Linked DNA regions of Caenorhabditis elegans. The protein of the gene in region 1 purifies or fractionates together with the protein of each later gene. This does not show direct contact. Each region holds a gene or a part of one and is shown on either strand. Other genes may lie near its edges.

Region 1 (3,411 bases):
GTCGTATTACTCACATTTCCTCCAAAATTGAAAATGAATTTAACATGTAGTCAATATGACCAACAAACTACTTTGTCTATTTTCTCCTCAACGTTAAATTCAATCTGTACAATCTTTCCTTATCAAATACACAACCACCTTTGATCACTCTCCTACTCTTTTTCTCTCTTGAAAATTTACTTTGACTACGTGTGTTCCGAAGACTACAAACCATAGATTCTCTTCTCTAGCATTCTCTAGCCCCATTTGACCATACTGGCGAACCTACTTTGGTCTGGTGCGAGAGCGTATAGCAACTGGTATAAAAGGCTACGCAGCCCTAGACTTATTTTCATTTCGTTGCATATCGATCGATAGGAACGGATCCACGTTGCCTGCGTAGCCTGCGTACATTAATCCCTTGGCGGTCACATCTCGCCCTTCATCTCATGCACCTTCCCCTTTTCTTGTTCTATCCAGGTCATCCCAATTTCTGTTTCTCTCCAAAGTTGGAATGAATAGACGCAACTATTTGTGAAATCAACAAGTAGATAGTTTTATTTTTCAGCTTTAAATTAAGTAAAAACTAAAACATTAAAACTACCGTTACTTATAGAGTTGGATTTATTTTTTCTATTTGCCTTTTTAAACACTTCCACTAAATTTGAAAATTGAAGCTTTTTTTTTAAATTTATTTTTAAGATTCTGATATAAACAGTTGTTTTGAGATGATTCGTTTATTATACAGTTTTTAGTAGAAATATAAATGTACGTTTTTTTCGACTAATTTGTTTCTTTCTATTTGAAGCAACGTCTTTCAAAATATTGAGATGTTAGCTTTACGTTTTTAGAATTAAAATAAGGACTCTTTTTCACGTGGTGTCATGCTTTCCCATCGCGGTTTGATCTACAAAAAAGCGGGAAATTGTTTCCCAATAAAATGCGACGTCAGCAACTTTGTGAAATCACTTGAGAAGTCTGTTTCTAAATTCCCGCAATTCTTGTAGATCTGCGTAGATCAAACCGGAATGGGACACTCTGACACAACGTTTTTTTGACAATAATGAAGTATGACAATTTGAATCGACTAGTCAACAGTCTGAAACCACTACAAACCGAACAAAACTGCAGGTGTTTTTTTTAAATTCAACTTTCAAAAAATATGAATTCTTGAATAATTGTCTGTGATCCGCAGGAATCCCCCGAATTCCTGAAGAACGGATTGACTAAGTAACTAACTAACTAAGTAAGTAAGTAAGTAAGTTCATCATTTTTCATAGAATCTCTACTTTTAAACGTTTTGGTTATTATACACATGTTTCGAAATCACAAAACTAACATTTCCAAAGTGTTCCCAAAATGTGCTTTATGCTCATGTTCTGTTGTCATGACATCAGGTTAGAGTATAGTCTCATTGCCTATTGATCATCGCGAGGCCACCCTCCCAGGCACACTACTCCTTTTGCCCAATTCTCTCGTCCATTTCTTCTCCGCCGTTATTATTTGTTTGTTCAAATTGTCTCTCTGCTCTCTTTCCCATGTTTCTCTATTTCTCCTTTCAACTTGGTCAGCTATTTTTCTCTCTTCATCCTTGACACAATTGCTGCTGTCTTTTCTGTCTTGTATTGCAGGCCTGTATTTTAATAACATAATTTAATATGTTTTTTATTGCCATACTTCTCATATCTATATATTTTTTAATAACACGAAATGATTTTCAGAATGGCCGATCTTAAGCAAATCACCCTTAAGGAAATTGCCGAGCACAACACAAACAAATCAGCATGGCTTGTAATTGGAAACAAGGTGTTTGATGTGACCAAGTTCTTGGACGAGGTAAGATTATGTTCTGATATTTAGAAATCCGTACTCGAAGCACGTAGGCAGACATAAACCACACTTTACGGTACGAATAACACAAACGCAGATTCATTGTTGATCAATAGAAAGAAATTGACATCTATGAAAAATGAAAAGGAATTAAATTTTTTCTCTGCAATTGATAGGATTTCTTGCTCAAAAATTTTTAGCATCAACTTTATCAAAAATAGCCGTTACCGTCTCTTTCAAATATGTATTCTTATTTTATCGTTAAAACAAAATTTACTGTTTGATACAATCAAAACCATGACGATTAAGATATCGAAATACTTGAAAACAAATAGGGGCAAAAATTCCCGAATTTTTTGTAGATCAAACCGTAATGGGACAGGCTGGCACCACGTGGCGCATCAAAACTAAAAATTAATAATGTTTTTTTTTCAGCATCCGGGAGGTTGCGAGGTCCTTCTTGAGCAGGCTGGAAGTGATGGAACTGAGGCATTCGAGGATGTTGGGCACTCCACTGACGCTAGGCATATGAAGGACGAGTATTTGATCGGAGAAGTCGTTGCAGTAAGTTTTTGCCTTTTTTGCTTATAATTTTCATTCATTTGTTTTGTGTTCCAGTCTGAGAGAAAAACCTACTCGTATGACAAGAAGCAATGGAAGTCTACCACCGAACAGGATAACAAGCAGAGAGGAGGGTAAGTAGGGTTATACTTTTATTTTGAATTTGAACTTTTTTAAAAATGATTTTAAAAGTTAACTTTTGACTAAACGCTGCATCTCAGCTCAGAATAATAATATTTTTTCAGAGAGTCAATGCAAACCGACAACATTGTTTACTTCGCCCTTCTTGCTGTCATTGTTGCTCTTGTTTATTATCTTATCGCTGCGTAATCACTGTTGATCCACTATTTTCGCCATGATTTTGAAAACTGGGGCATTATCTTACTTAAAAAAAACTGATTTTTTTTTCATTGTTATCCAATAAATGTCATTTTGTGATTTTATTATCGAAAATAAATACATCACTGTGATTAACATATGTACACTGAAAAGGGACTTTAATATTTTGTTTTCATTTCGATCGAAATGATAATGATTGAATGGAAGCTGGTGTTGAAGAGGACGTTTTTGACGATGGAGGTATGTTTGGAACTTCGTGGGTTACTGGATCATTGATCCAAAGATTCTGAAATTAAACAGCTTTTATGTTAGCTAACTTGGAATTAGTTACTGTGGAAATATCTTTCCTCCAAAGCAACACTGCTTCGTCGGCGCCAAACTCTCCAGAGCAGGTAAGAATGTGGTGCTCGCTGAAAAAAATTTCTTGGATATGCCATAAGTTCCTTGTCATGAAGTGAGTGAATGTTGCGTGAACGAAAAAAAATCTTGAAGTCGTTTATATTTTTCTATAACACTTACTTAGTTAACTAATTAACTAAGTTAGTAAAAACATTACCCAATATTTAGCTTCAATTTCTCAATTCAATTTTGTAAAAAAATCGCTTTAACAATTGTTGAAAAAAAAACTTTGTTCACAAATTGCGTCATTCCAACTGTGTGAACTCTTGAAACTTTGCTCACCCGCTAGAAATTATCTTTCTG
Region 2 (5,266 bases), on another chromosome or scaffold:
GAACTAGAACAAGGTTGAAGAGAAATGCAAATTGTACAGAAAATATGAGAAGGGAAATAAATATACACTAAATTGGATGCTATGAGACGGTGCAGTTGGAATTGGAATTTCTTGTTTGATGCGGCGGTGCAACTCGATTGTATTCTTCTTGTTGTAGAGAACGAGCCAGAGCTTCATCTCCCTGGAAACATTTGTGATTTAGTTAGTTGTTTTTTTGAAAATAGATACAAACCTCTGTTCTTGCTTGTGCGGAACATGGATTCATTCGGGAACGCGCGATTGATGTGATTCTGGAAAAATACCTTGAAATTCGATTTATTCAAAACAATAAACTTACGAATCCGTCCAGCTCTTTTTCTGATTTATCTTCATTTCGCCAACTTTTCGCTCACAACTGTGATCCCGCTCGTGTCTGTGAGAAAGGCAGTAGTTGTTTCGACATTTTGAGCAATTCATGGCTACCAGCTCTTTCTTCTTGCATTTTGGGACGGTACACGCGTTTGAATATACTTTTGCACGTTTCGGAGTCTGACAATTGTTCTGAATGTGCTCATTGACCTGAAAAAGAAACAATTTTTATCAATATTTTTGCAGGAATAATTTCAAAATAATTACTTGTTGATCAACATTGACATCTTTCGGCGTTGGAACTGGCTTCTCACATATAGGACAAATAGGAACTTGAACGGACTGAAATTTAATAATTTTAATCTAAAAAAAGATTTTCAAACACTTACAATTCTTGAGCCAGTCGGACAATTATGAGCCTCAAATGTGAAGTGCTCTGAGCAGTAGAAATGTCCACAACCGGAGCATTTGATTGGAAGAAAATCTGAAATAATTATTTTTTTATTTAATTAATTTTTTTTAAATGTTGACTTACCAAGTCTGTTGCAAACTGTGCTCTCACAGTGCTTTCCGAGATTTGGGAACTCCGCCATAGCTGAATAAAGCAAACGATATTGATAGGAAACGAGAGAATATAGACTTTTAAACACAAGAAATGATGACAATTGGAAAAATTCTAGAATTTACCAGAAATGCCAGACATCGGGTTACGAAATTATTGATTTTTATATATTATTGAAAGCTTTTGGACTTTTTAGAACGAGAAAAAATTGAATAATTCAATTTCAAGATTTTTGAAATCAATATCAGCTGATTCGCTAGAAAACGTGACGCTTTCAGTATTTCGTGACGTCACTGCGTACAGCTGGATTAAAGGCGCATGACATTAAACGTGCGGTGGGTCTCACAGCGAAACCGCTTTGCACCTCCTTCTCCCGCTTTTTTTGATTTTCGTCTCTCGCATTTGTCCCAAAACCTTTCATCTTTTTCTGTTTTTTCTTTCTAAATTCGATTTTTCGAACGATTTAAAAGTTGTTTTTCCCATTATTTTTCCCCCTTCTTGCACGGTGTGACGCAAAATACTCACTTGGTTATTTTGGCCCCACTTGTGTTTTATAGGGTAAAACAACCGAATTTCGTCGAAAATTTGGGTCTCTTCAATCCGTCCGTTCTCGTTTGCTACTCGTTTTCTCAGCGCTGCGAATCAATTTAAAACTTGTAATTCGTCAGCGCGTGCTTCTGTATCAAAGGAAGACGAGCCAAACGAGAGGTCTACTAATCGAAGTCGATATTTATTTTCGCAGCAGCCGTTGCACGACCAGAAGTTCGCATTTCAAACTCATATAAAAAAGACAATGGGAGACAGAGGATAGTAAGTTGACTTATCGATTATTGACGTGCATAATTGTTTTTCTTTTTCAGCGGAGGTTCTAGAAGCTATGGAGGAAGCAGCGGTGGTGGATCCCGCGGAGGATATGGAGGTGGAGGCCGTGGTGGCGGCGGCGGAGGATACAGCGGTGGTCGTGGTGGTGGATATGGAGGAGGTGGCGGTGGAGGCTACGGAGGAGGTGGTTATGGCGGCGGTGGCCGTGGAGGAGGTCGTGGAGGATCCAATGGTTCAGCTGGAGGACGCCTTCGCGATGTCGACTGGTCTGCCGAGAACCTTACTCCGATTGAGAAGGATTTCTATCACGAGAATGCAGCCGTATCCCGCCGTGAGCAGTATGAGATTGATCAATGGGTATCAGCAAATCAAGTTACTCTCGAAGGCCGTGGTGTCCCACGCCCGGTTTTCGAATTCAACGAGGCACCATTGCCAGGACAGATTCACGAGCTTTTGTACGGAAAGTTCCAGAAACCAACAGTTATTCAGTCAATCTCCTGGCCGATTGCCATGAGCGGACGTGATATTATCTCTATCGCCAAAACTGGTTCCGGAAAAACACTTGCCTTCATGCTCCCAGCTCTCGTCCACATCACAAAACAGGCTCACCGTCAACGCGGAGAAGGACCAGCCGTTCTTGTTTTGCTTCCAACTCGTGAATTGGCTCAACAAGTTCAAGAAGTATCAATCGATTTCTGCCACTCGTTAGGACTCAAGATGACCTGTCTCTTCGGAGGAGCATCCAAAGGACCACAAGCTCGTGATCTCGAGCGTGGAGTTGATATCGTTGTTGCCACTCCGGGACGTCTTCTCGATTTCCTTGATAACGGAACTACCAACATGAAGAAGTGCTCTTACTTGGTTCTTGATGAAGCCGATCGTATGCTTGATATGGGTTTCGAACCACAAATCAAGAAAATCATCGGACAGATTCGCGTAAGTTGAATCTGTTGTAATTGTGTTTTAATATATATTTTTTCAGCCAGACAGACAAACACTCATGTTCTCCGCCACATGGCCAAAGGAAGTTCGTGCGTTGGCTTCAGATTTCCAGAAAGACGCTGCTTTCCTCAACGTCGGATCCCTTGAGCTCGCTGCCAATCACAACATCACACAAGTCGTCGATATTCTCGAAGAACATGCAAAGCAAGCCAAACTCATGGAGCTCCTCAATCATATCATGAATCAAAAGGAATGCAAAACCATTATTTTTGTTGAGACAAAGCGGAAAGCCGATGAATTGACTCGTGCTATGCGTCGCGATGGATGGCCAACTCTCTGTATTCACGGTGACAAAAACCAAGGAGAAAGAGACTGGGTTCTTCAAGGTTAGTTAAAGTTACCAATTATTTTGTTATAAATACATTTTTCAGAATTCAAAGCAGGAAAAACACCAATCATGTTGGCCACCGATGTTGCCGCGCGTGGATTGGGTTAGTTTGTCGCGCCAACCTAGAAAGGGTCAAATTTTAGATGTCACATATTAGAAAAGTCGGTTTCAGGAGTTTCTGGCTTCCAGTTTTCTTGACAATCGTTACAATAGCATGGTATTCAGCCATATTTGTGATTTATTTGACCCTTTACAGTTACACCAACTTGATTTGGCCGAGAGGATTGATCGAAATGCAATGCAGTTGATTTTGGCAGCGTCTTGTGACGTTATCATATCATACGTTGCAGATGTGTAGTGGCAGAGAGTACCTTCTGGTGCTCTGTGAATGAAATCTACACATCGAGTCGAAGAAAGCGGTTCAGTTTCGCAAGCCGCCAGTATTGCAGTCATATACATTGAGTGCTGTTGTGGCTTGTGCAGGCTGTTCCGATGACTCATCAGTGACTCCGTCGAATTTTTCTCCTCTTCCCCATTCCCATCTTTAGAATTCTGGGTTCAGGTGCGTAAGTACGTATAGCTTAGTCAGAGTTGTATCGGCGGTCTCCCTGTGGTGATTGCTCTCAACCTGGTGAACTAGGTTTTATACGCATCTGGAACCTGTTAATAATTAAAAAATTATTGGAATGGATTTATTTCCCGGCTTATCCGGAGAGAGGAGTTTAAATGGCAATTCACTGTTTCGGTTCACTCGTGTTTATTCTTCTTGGTTCACCTGGTTGAGAGAAAGCGTCGTTCACGCTTTTTGCTCTAATTTGTTTTACAGTAATTTTAATTTAACAATTTTAGATGTCGATGATATCAAATTCGTGATCAACTATGATTATCCAAACAACTCTGAAGACTATGTTCACAGAATCGGTCGTACTGGTCGTAGTGACAAAAAGGTAAATTAGTAGAGAAAATTCAATATTTCATGATTTGTTTTTCAGGGAACCGCCTACACTTTCTTCACTCATACAAACGCTTCCAAGGCAAAGGATCTGTTGAAGGTTCTCGATGAGGCTAAGCAGACTGTTCCACAAGCTCTTCGTGATATGGCAAACCGCAGTTACGGAGGTAGCAACTCAAGGGGTCGCTATGGAGGTGGTGGTTTCCAGAAGAGAGGATACGGAGGAAACGATAACTTTGCTCCAAAGAGGCCACGGTACGTGTTTTTGTGATTAGAAATAAAAAAGTGGAATATGATAACGGATTTTTGAAATCGCACCTAATTTCGAATAAAATTAAATCCTGTAATTTTCAGATATGACAACGGAGGATACGGTGGAGGCAGCGGTGGAGGTGGCCGATGGTAGACGATCTACATATCTTCTCACTCACTTCCGACATTTAAACGATAATTCAGATCTCGTTCGTTCGGTTTTAATGGAACTCTGAACTTCTCCTCATTTTTATTCTTTTTTACTTTTTACTTTCTTACTCTTTGTTTTTTTGAGCGTTGTGCCCATATTTTATTTTTGTTTTAATCAGTAACTGTCATCTCCCTCCAAACTTTTAATAATATCCATCTAGTTTTATCATTGCGTTTTGTGTAACTCGGCTGCAATGGAAACAGTTTTGTTTCAAAGATTGTTTCTTTAATATAAGATCTTTTGAAGAAAATAAATATTGATGTTGATGGAAAAAATTGAAATATATTTTTGTGTTTTGGCTGTTGTCCCCCACTTTTCCTGTTTGCTCTTTGTCTTTTCCTATTGTTGGCACGCGGATTTCTTGTTTTTCATTTTTGTATCCTTAAAACGACACAGGCTCTTCAGGTTCTGTGTTCGTCAGTTCTTGTAGGCATTGAAATTCTTCTTCTCGAGACCTTCTTTTCTATTAATTCAGTCTATTCTATTGCAATCGATATGTGAAAAGTGAGAGATAGATGGGCGGCATTGAAGTACAGTTTTCTCGTTGGCGGGGCGCCACAGACAATTGATCTTTTGTAGAGACGATTGCGTCAGTTTTTAGGCCAATCGCATTTTTTTCCTTGCAAACTTGAACAAAAAACTGACATGATCGTTTCGAGACCCAATGGCAATTGACAGATGTGTACCGGAAGTGGAAGCTTTTTGTTCTCGAACATGGTGAGCAAACAACTCTTTTTGCAGTAGAGCTTGTATATTATATGTTTATAAACTAAGTTTTTCATTAATATA

What was found. The genes of interacting proteins can lie anywhere in the genome.
Region 2: the proteins of cytb-5.1 (region 1) and ddx-17 fractionate together in Caenorhabditis elegans (co-fractionation; one large-scale study listed by BioGRID). This does not show direct contact.

What each region holds. Positions count from the first base shown.
Region 1 is NC_003284.9:14,000,224-14,003,634, forward strand, and holds cytb-5.1 (Cytochrome b5), read left to right. Parts: upstream 1-1,700; 5' UTR 1,701-1,701; coding exon 1,702-1,815; intron 1,816-2,244; coding exon 2,245-2,373; intron 2,374-2,427; coding exon 2,428-2,504; intron 2,505-2,615; coding exon 2,616-2,700; 3' UTR 2,701-2,857; downstream 2,858-3,411. Other genes in the region: tbc-19 (TBC1 domain family member 2B), read right to left, coding at 2,882-2,995, 3,041-3,119, 3,391-3,411.
Region 2 is NC_003283.11:14,008,254-14,013,519, reverse strand, and holds ddx-17 (RNA helicase), read left to right. Parts: upstream 1-1,578; 5' UTR 1,579-1,703; coding exon 1,704-1,720; intron 1,721-1,770; coding exon 1,771-2,668; intron 2,669-2,714; coding exon 2,715-3,060; intron 3,061-3,105; coding exon 3,106-3,165; intron 3,166-3,318; exon of another isoform or gene 3,319-3,624; intron 3,625-3,911; coding exon 3,912-4,009; intron 4,010-4,054; coding exon 4,055-4,269; intron 4,270-4,368; coding exon 4,369-4,420; 3' UTR 4,421-4,749; downstream 4,750-5,266. Other genes in the region: aip-1 (AN1-type domain-containing protein), read right to left, coding at 80-181, 233-290, 338-558, 616-690, 738-832, 884-941.